Linked DNA regions of Rattus norvegicus. The protein of the gene in region 1 interacts with the protein of each later gene in a pairwise test. Links are inferred from orthologs where the notes say so. Each region holds a gene or a part of one and is shown on either strand. Other genes may lie near its edges.

What was found.
Region 2: the proteins of Stau1 (region 1) and Nxt1 interact in binary tests that used the Homo sapiens proteins (3 or more experiments, as listed by UniProt). The two-hybrid records come from large-scale screens. The link is inferred for Rattus norvegicus from reciprocal best matches to the Homo sapiens genes STAU1 and NXT1.

What each region holds. Positions count from the first base shown.
Region 1 is NC_086021.1:176,142,061-176,146,220, reverse strand, and holds the start of Stau1 (double-stranded RNA-binding protein Staufen homolog 1), read left to right. Parts: upstream 1-1,273; 5' UTR 1,274-1,453; intron 1,454-4,160. UniProt on the Homo sapiens protein: Binds double-stranded RNA (regardless of the sequence) and tubulin.
Region 2 is NC_086021.1:156,560,781-156,565,003, reverse strand, and holds the start of Nxt1 (NTF2-related export protein 1), read right to left. Parts: upstream 2,884-4,223; 5' UTR 2,778-2,883; intron 709-2,777; 5' UTR 651-708; coding exon 228-650; 3' UTR 1-227.

The DNA.
Region 1 (4,160 bases):
AATTCATGCAAAGTCAGCCACAGTGCTGTGGCAAGGAGACTGAGTTGTTAGGCAAACTATTTATTTATTTATTTATTTATTTAATTTTTTGTTTTTTTGAGACAGAGTTTCTGTCTGTAGCCCTGGCTGTTTTGGAACTCAAGAGATCCACCTCTCTCTGCCTCTCCAAGGGCTGAGATTAAAATGTCTGTGCCACTACCACCTGGCTAGGGTTTTTTCTGTGTGTGTGTGTGTGTGTGTGTGTGTGTGTGTGTGTGTACTTTTGGGGTAGAGATGGAACCTAGAGCCTTGGGTATCTAGCTATGATGTCTACCTAGGTGCTTCAATCACAGGCATCACTTAAAATAAGCCGCAGAGGATCCCATAACCTCTGACAAGGATCCCATCTTTCTAGTACTAAAGACCTCTCTCCCCTGCCTCCCATAAGAGGGCTGTTACAGGGCTGGAGAGATGGCTATCAGTTAAGAGCAGTTATTATTCTTGAAGAGGACCTGTCTCACAACTGCCTATAACTCCTGCACCAGGCAGGAAGTGACAGCACTGGACTCAGTGGACACCTGAACTCACACGCTCATACATACCATGCACACTCACACATACACGCACACGCGCGCAAGAAAATTAAGAAAACCCAAGAGGGCGAATAGAAAAGTTACATCATGAGTGGGAGATGGAGCTCAGTGCTAGAAGTTTGCTTCAATCTCCAGGACCACATCAAAGAAACCAACACCAGCCTCTTGTCCACAGAAGCACACTCAGTTTAGAGCTCCGTGAAAGCAACCAGAAAGTACTTGGTGCTTGTCTTAAAACAGAATCAGACTTCATTTACTGTGCTTTCCCCAGTAGAATGTAAACTCCATGAGGGCCGGGACTTGTGCATTCTCACTGTATTTTCAGTTTCTGACCTTGTACACAGCAGCAGGTTAACAAATGTTAGTATAGGAAGAAGGAGTGAACGCAGGAAGGAAACATAAAGCCTGGACAAGAAAGGAAGTTAGGCCTGCTTTCCCTGCCGAACCGGAGCTCCTGGGAAACTACAACTCCCAGTACACCTTGGACTCAACGCAGCGGTGCCTGGCCCCCGTTGGTCTTACGTGCCTAGAGAGCGCATGCTGGACGCGGCGCCTGCTGGGACTTGTGGTTCCTGCCACGGTGGGGGGGGTGGGGCCGGCATGGAGGCGGGCGGGGGCCGGGGGCGGGCGCGGCCCCTCCCCCGTCACTTCCTGCCGGGCTGCAGGCGCCGAGCCACTCTTCAGCGTTTGCGCTGGCTGTCGTCGCGTCTGTGTGCGCTCCCCCTTCTTCTGACCCCCGGCCCGGCGGCGCCCGCCTTCTCCGCAGCCACTCCGTCTCTTCCCTCCCCCGGTCTTTTTTTCCTCGCCCTCTTCTTTTGCTTTTCTTCCTCGCCGCCGCCCAATACCGCCGGCCCCGGGACGAGCTCTGGGGAAGCAGCCAGGTAAGGCGCTCGGGTCGGGCCGGGCCGAGCAGCGGAAGGACCCACGCAGGCACGGCGTCAGCGGGAGGTGGGCGGCGGGTGGGCTAGGCCTCGAGGGCGCGGGAGCTGCGGCCCAGGCTCATCTCCGCCCGCGGGGCCTTCCCGGAGGAGGCGGGCCCTCCGCGCTGCTCGTGGGCCCAGTGCGGGAGTTAACGCGGGGGTCGCGGGCAGGGGCTGGGCCGGTCGGCAGGCCACCAGGTTTCGGTGCTGTGCACAGTGTTGCGGCCACTGCGGAGCTGTGGGATAAGGTGCCAATTCCCGGCTCTGTCCCCTTAGCAAGTCACTTCGTACTCTTTGTGTCTCTGTTGTGAGGGGGAAAAGGAGGGGGAAGAGTATTAATCCTGTCCCAACCCCGTCCCTGCCTCTTCAGGCTGTGAAGTTGCAGTGAAATGGGGCGTGTAAAGCGCTTATCAGTGTGCCAGACCCACACCGTGTCCCAATAAACCGTTTGCATAATTTATTAACGTGGTATGAAAGTATAATTTAGGCTTCAGACTGGACAGAAGTTGACCTACCTTCCCATTTGGGTTTTCTCCGAGGCAGAAGAATCCCTCGTGCCCACTGCCAGTGCCTGGGCATTGTGCTTGCTTGGCACCAGAAAGGGGCGCGCGCTTAATGGGGACACTGTAGCAGACAGGTTATGGATGTAAAGCCATCCTTTCTGTAGAACCAGTTTCAGGCACTTCACTGGCTCCCGTAGGCTCCGCAACCTGTCCCATGTTTCCTTGCCACCACCCAGAACGTTATTGTCATTCCTTTTTATGAGAAAGTTGCTGGCATAAGCTCCCCTTGGGTTCAGCAGACCTTTTTGGAGCCCTCTTGTGTGTCAGGTTCTGGAGGTGGAGTATGCAAAGATGCTAAAACCGTGCTTTCTTGGTCCACATCTGTAGTTCTTCACTTTCTTTAGCTGAGCTTCGATTTCACTCCCGGTACCTATCCGTTTCCCTTAAACTCTGGCCGCACCTCCGTCCTTGTGGCAGTATTGCTGGTCTGAAGCTTTATCTTGTACCCTTTTGCATTTTGCCCATGTATTGTGTGCCTTTTAAAGGTCACTATTTTCAACTGCTTATAGCTGAAATTCTGTTTCTGTTTTTTTGCTTGCTTGTTTGTTTTTTTCTGAGATGTGGTTTCTCTGTGCAGCCCAGGCTGTCCTGGAACTTGCTCTGTAGCCCAGTCTGGGTAACTGTAATTCTTGAGAATTGGAAGTGTTGGAAGAGATTTAAACTAGGATTTTGGTCTTTCAGGGATCTGTGCTTACCAAATGCAAATTACATCACTACTTGTTGAAGTAAAAACTAAAAATACATTTGGGGAGTGTGGAGGGAGAAGTCTTGGTCATTCTAGTGAACTTTTAGTAGACTCTTTATTCTGACTCAGCCTTTCTCTTTTCTTTAGTAAGATTAAGTACTCTTTTTTTTTTTTTTTTTTTTTGGTTCTTTTTTTCGGAGCTGGGGACCGAACCCAGGGCCTTGTGCTTCTTAGGTAAGCGCTCTACCACTGAGCTAAATCCCCAACCCCTTGTTTTTGTTTTTAAATCTGTGCTTAGTGTCATAGGTGTCCTCCTCCTTAAAGAAACACAGCTGGTACAGGAGCAGATTTATAAGAGCAATTCAGTGTGTGTTTTCTGTGCTCAATGCTCTTCTACATGGAGGCCGGAGGTCAACTTCTGGTGTCTTGTCTTCCTTGACGGCTCTCTACCTAATTTCCTGGAACAGACTCTGAGGGTTGCTGCCTTTCCTGGGCTACTCATCTCTTCAGCCTCTCGGCAGATTGTTTTAGGCAGTAAGTTTCTTTAATAAGTGGAGAATGTTTATATCACACCCATCTGATATTGCATGGCTGTGTCTGTGTTTTTGACATCTTCCTAGTGTTTTTGTAATGTCAGGAAATAGTTTCTAGCGTCCATTGTTGAGTGTAATGGCTTTTCTCTTTGTTTGTTTGTTTGTTTGTTTTGGATTTTTTTGTTTTTAGAGACCAGGGTTTCTCTGGGTAACATAGCCCTGACTGTCCAGGAACTTGCTTTGTAGACCAGGCTGGCCTTGGACAGAGAGGTCACCCTGCCTCTGCCTTTGGAGGAGTCCTGGGATCAAAGGCATTCAATATTTGTCTGCTTTTCAATTAGTCATTAATAGTTCAGGAACTGTTGATTCAGTCCTTAAGGAGTAAGGCTGAAATCTGGGCTGAAAAGTGGCATTCTCCTAGAGAAGGGGAGTCCGCTAATTCTGCAGCTGTTTTCCTGCTGTGTATTAATCATATGTCAGCCAAGAAACCAGACCCCAAAAGAAAGAAAAAAAAAAAAAAAAAAAAAAAGAGAAAGCGCAGTCAGTTCTAGTATACAAGAAATGTCATTTCATTGACAGATTAACAGTCAGCCTGATATGACCTGGTTAAAGTCAAAATGACTAAGATTATGATAGATTTAGGATTTGTTTTCAAAACAAGCTAGTTTAAAGGAGGGAGTTCAAGAAGAGACAAGATGGACCTTAACTATGAGTTAATAATTATCAAAGCTGGGTGACCAAATACACAGTGCCCTCTATAGCATTCAACTTTAATACTTAAAAACAAGACAACTGGGGTTGGGGATTTAGCTTAGTGGTAGAGCGCTTGCCTAGCAAGCACAAGGCCCTGGGTTCAGTCCCCAGCTCTGGAAAAAAAGAAAAGAAGA
Region 2 (4,223 bases), about 20 Mb from region 1:
AACAGGTTCTCTACTGAGTAAGTAGAAAAATAGAAAGTTTACTACTTTTAAAAGGCAACTATGACAAACCAGTATATAACCAGGAAAGGGGTTTCTAGGAGTCGAACATCCAGTTTGCAGTGCTGCTGTGACAACAAAAATGAACTAGTGTTCTCCACGTCCTGAGATTTGAGACTGGCATTTCTCTGCAGAGCTTGGCTAAAGCCAAGCTGCCTTTGTCACCCCCACTAGCTGGCCCAGTCCTGGAAGCGGAAGCAGTCACTCGCTATCTTCCACACTGTGTTACTGGGTGACGCCTGAGCAGTCAGGATGAAGTTCTGGTTGAAGTCCCGCTGTTTGTTGCCCTCAAATTTCACTGTTCCACAGATGACCACAAGGACCGTGGTCTGGCTTGGCGTAGCTTCATCATGAACAGGCTGGCAGTCTACCACGTTGATTTGGAACTCACTGGAAGGCAACATCTCAAAAAACTCACTCAAGGATTCTTGTCCCGAAACGGCATTTCCATTCCATACTAAAGTGGCCGTGCCCATGTACAGGCGAGACAGCAGCCGCCGCCGATTATCCATAGTAGTGTAGTAGACGTTGACAAATTCCTCTGCAGCTCTGCAGGCCTGGTCCACATAGGTCTTGAAATCTACTGATGCCATCTCTGGGTCTGCTGCCAGAGGCCTCTGCCAGAATGCCGCCTCCTTAGGGATCCAGTGACTGTAGGACAGCAAAGGTAAAGTGAACACAAGTGAATATCAAATCTATTCTGCTCTGGCCAAAGTTTTCTTTCAAGTTTTAATTTTTAAAATAGTATTTGTGTGCATGTCAGTTTGGTACATGCCATGGCTCATTGAAAGTCAAAGGTGACCAGGCAAAAGTCCTCTCTGCCTACCCCATGTGGGTCCTAGGAGTCAAAAACTCAGGTCGGTAGGTTTGACAGCAAGCACCTTTAGCTACTGACCCATCTAGTTCCCAACCCTATTTTTTCCATAGATAACATTTGCATATTAAAGGCAGATGACTTCAGGCTCAGACTCTTGCCTATTTATTTTAAAGGCAGGATCATGATACACACACACACACACACACACACACACACACACACACACACACCCAGGATCAAAGGCATACAGATCAGGAATGGTTGCCTATTAATCTTTCTAATCCTGTTTCATCTTCAAAAAATTGATACCTAAAGACTGCTCTTTCCTGAAAGCTTGGAGAGGTGTGATTGTCCCCAGGCAACCAGGGTGTGGCTAATCTTAGTAAAACCAGTGGCTCCTGCTGAAGGGATGAGTGATTACTGACCCAATAAAGTGTATCAGAGGGAGAGCAGATGCCCTTCCAGGAAAAAAACTACCACGAACTAACACAACAAGGACCCAAAAGATGCAGGGAACAGCATATTTCTTAGGGGAGTGGAGGACAGTGGTTACAATTCCTATAAGTAAACCCAAGACCGACTAAATTTACCTCTTCAGCATTAATGCCCACCATGTAAGACCAGAGGGGCCATGACACCATAGCAGAAGGCTCTAGAATGAACAGATTCTCAGGGAGAATCTGAAATACCATAGTTCAGATGAAAGTTCCAACACATAAGCAGCATGTTTGTTTTTTCATAACAGGTATGGCTGTTAATTTTTCCTATGATTAAAAAGTTCCACTTGAAAGAACCCAGTACTGACCAATATTAATGAAAATATTGGACACAAGTAATTTATATTATTTTCCAATTTTCAGAAACAGGTCTCTACAGAGTAAGCTTACAACTAAGTTGGGAACACTTTTTTTAAAAAATTCCATTTCAAGAGCCTTTATTATTTTGAGACAGGGTCTCTTATATATTTCTGGCACGTCTATGTAGACCAGGCTGGCCTTCAACTCAGAGATCTGCCTGCCTCTGCCTCTGGTGCTGGAAATAATGGTGCAGGACCATGCCTGGTCCAACTTTTCTTTTTTACAACTATCAGTTTATGAACGATGATTCCACACAGAGCAAAGCTGGTCCTATAGATGAACTCTGACCAGCTTGATATTGCTCTCTCCAAGGTCCTCAGACTCAACAATCAATCTGAAGTGCTATTTGCTTAGCATTTTAGGTACATTCCTTCAATCATCATTGCACAAATCAATGTAACAACTTACAAAAAGAGGTTACGATCTTGGATGCTTCATTCTAGGAAAGCAAGGGAGTCGGCGCCATGCTCACTAAGTTCCAGGATTTTTTAAAGCAGTTCTATATAAAAACAGCTCTAGGGATGCTGGCTTAGCAATGTTCTCCCAGGTAACCATATTTCTCTGTCCAACCACCTCATCTCCGCTTCTTTAGGCCACGATGCTTCATCCAAACACGGTCTAACATTGGTCACGCCCCCCAAAGATGATCACCCCCATTTCTGGTCCTCAGCTACACACAGATCCCAGTCATCTTTCTCATTTCAGGAAAAAGCAGTAAGACAGAAATATTGTAGAGCGAGAGCCAGAAAGATGCTCCACTGCCGTGGTTCACACTGTAGTCTCCTGGAGCTGGAGCTGGACCCTAGAAACGGCAGCCGTGCCCCGGGCCTCATTTCCAGCTTTGAGTCGCTTCTTACATCCCCAAACTGCTGCTCTCCTCCAAGTATGGCAAACTCACCGCCACTGTTCTGCACAGGCTGCAGAGACACCACGTGGGGGAAAGGACAACACCCATGTCTTATTGAGTCTAAGAGAAGGGAAGAGGTCCCTGGTACCGCGGCGTTGTCCGACGGCCGGAGCACAGCCAGGCAGGAGCGCCCACTTACCTGCTCGGTCTCGGTCAACGTCGCCTAGGCGACTCGGCCCCGGGTCCCGCCCGGGCCGCGGTCCCGGGCCAGAAGAGTTTCTCTCTTGTTCTCCTCTTCCTCCTAGAGGCTCCGCCTGAAGAGCCGACGTCCAGGAGGCGGGGAACGGTTAGGCGCCGGTAGCAGCTTCCCGCGCGCCGCGAGCCTCACTCTGCGCAGGCGCTAGCGTCTCGGTTCCTGCCGGCTCCCGCCTCCCCGCGACGGGCAGCTACGGGAGCCAGTAGAAAGACTGGCCCCGCCCAAGTGTGGCTGCAAAATCAGGGTGGCTTCCGGGGTAGGCGCGAGCCCAAAAGATCCGATTGAGCGAGCTCTGATTGGACGGCGTGGAGGAGGTGGAGTTAGCGCGCTTAGCTGTGGAAGGTTTGGTTGGTGAGAAGTGTCCCGCTGCTGCATCTTGCTCCTCTCCTGTCTGTCTTGGCTTTATATCCTGTGGAGACTCGTGGAGCTTCAACGTGGAGCTTCACTGGTTGACCATATCTAGGGAGACAGCAACATGGCTTCAGTAAGGCTCTGGACTGAACCCAGCAAGCACATAGATGCCCGTGTAGGAATCCGAGTGAAGGCTAAGTCTGAGAGAGTCTGTGGAAGTCCTTGTGGTCAAACATCTTAGCTGAGCGCACCCTTTCTAAGGTAAAACTACTTAGAGTCGGCATGCAGATGAACTTAAAAGAAATAACAAATTTAGTCAAGTGAAAAGAATTGAGGTCGAAGACGCGGAGGAGGAGAGAAATAATGGTAGTTTACTTTCAGTGCGGTGCAAATTGAGTTCCCTACAGGCTCCAGCTGCGGCGCAGTTCCACCTCATTTAAGGCGCCGCAGTTTGGTTAATCTGGAGCAGTCTAGATGCTTAGCGAAAGAATGGAGCCATTTCACATAGGAACTTGGGGAACTGCCGCGCGTAACAAAACCCAAAAGGCTAACTTTCCTAAGACCCGACTCTGCGTCATCTGCCCCGCTAGGAGAGCCTTTGGAAGTGGCTACGTTCAATTAAGTACTTTAATCTGTATTTTGTTAGCAACCTCTTGGCTCCTTTTGCTCATGTTACTAAGGGGGCATTTGCTTTTAGAGTTAAGAAACCAGAATGCCTGTTCAATATAGGTTACTTCCCACTGGAGTTAAGTGTGACAAGTTTTCATTATTTAAAGAAATAAGTTGGAGGCTGAGTTTTGAGGATGAATAAGTGCTTTTGGAGCAGTAGTTACACAAAAATGCTCTGTAAACCTGGGCTTAAAACAGTGATAGGTCCAAGGACTCTTCTTGAGAGAGAACTAGACCTTTATTCTTTCAATAGCCCTTGAATTTGAGATTAGAAATACCTCTGATTCTAAGGGACTGAGCACTGTCACGGTTGAGAGTATTAGTCAAGGTTCTCTGGGGAATAGAATGAAAAATCTCTCTCTCCTCTGT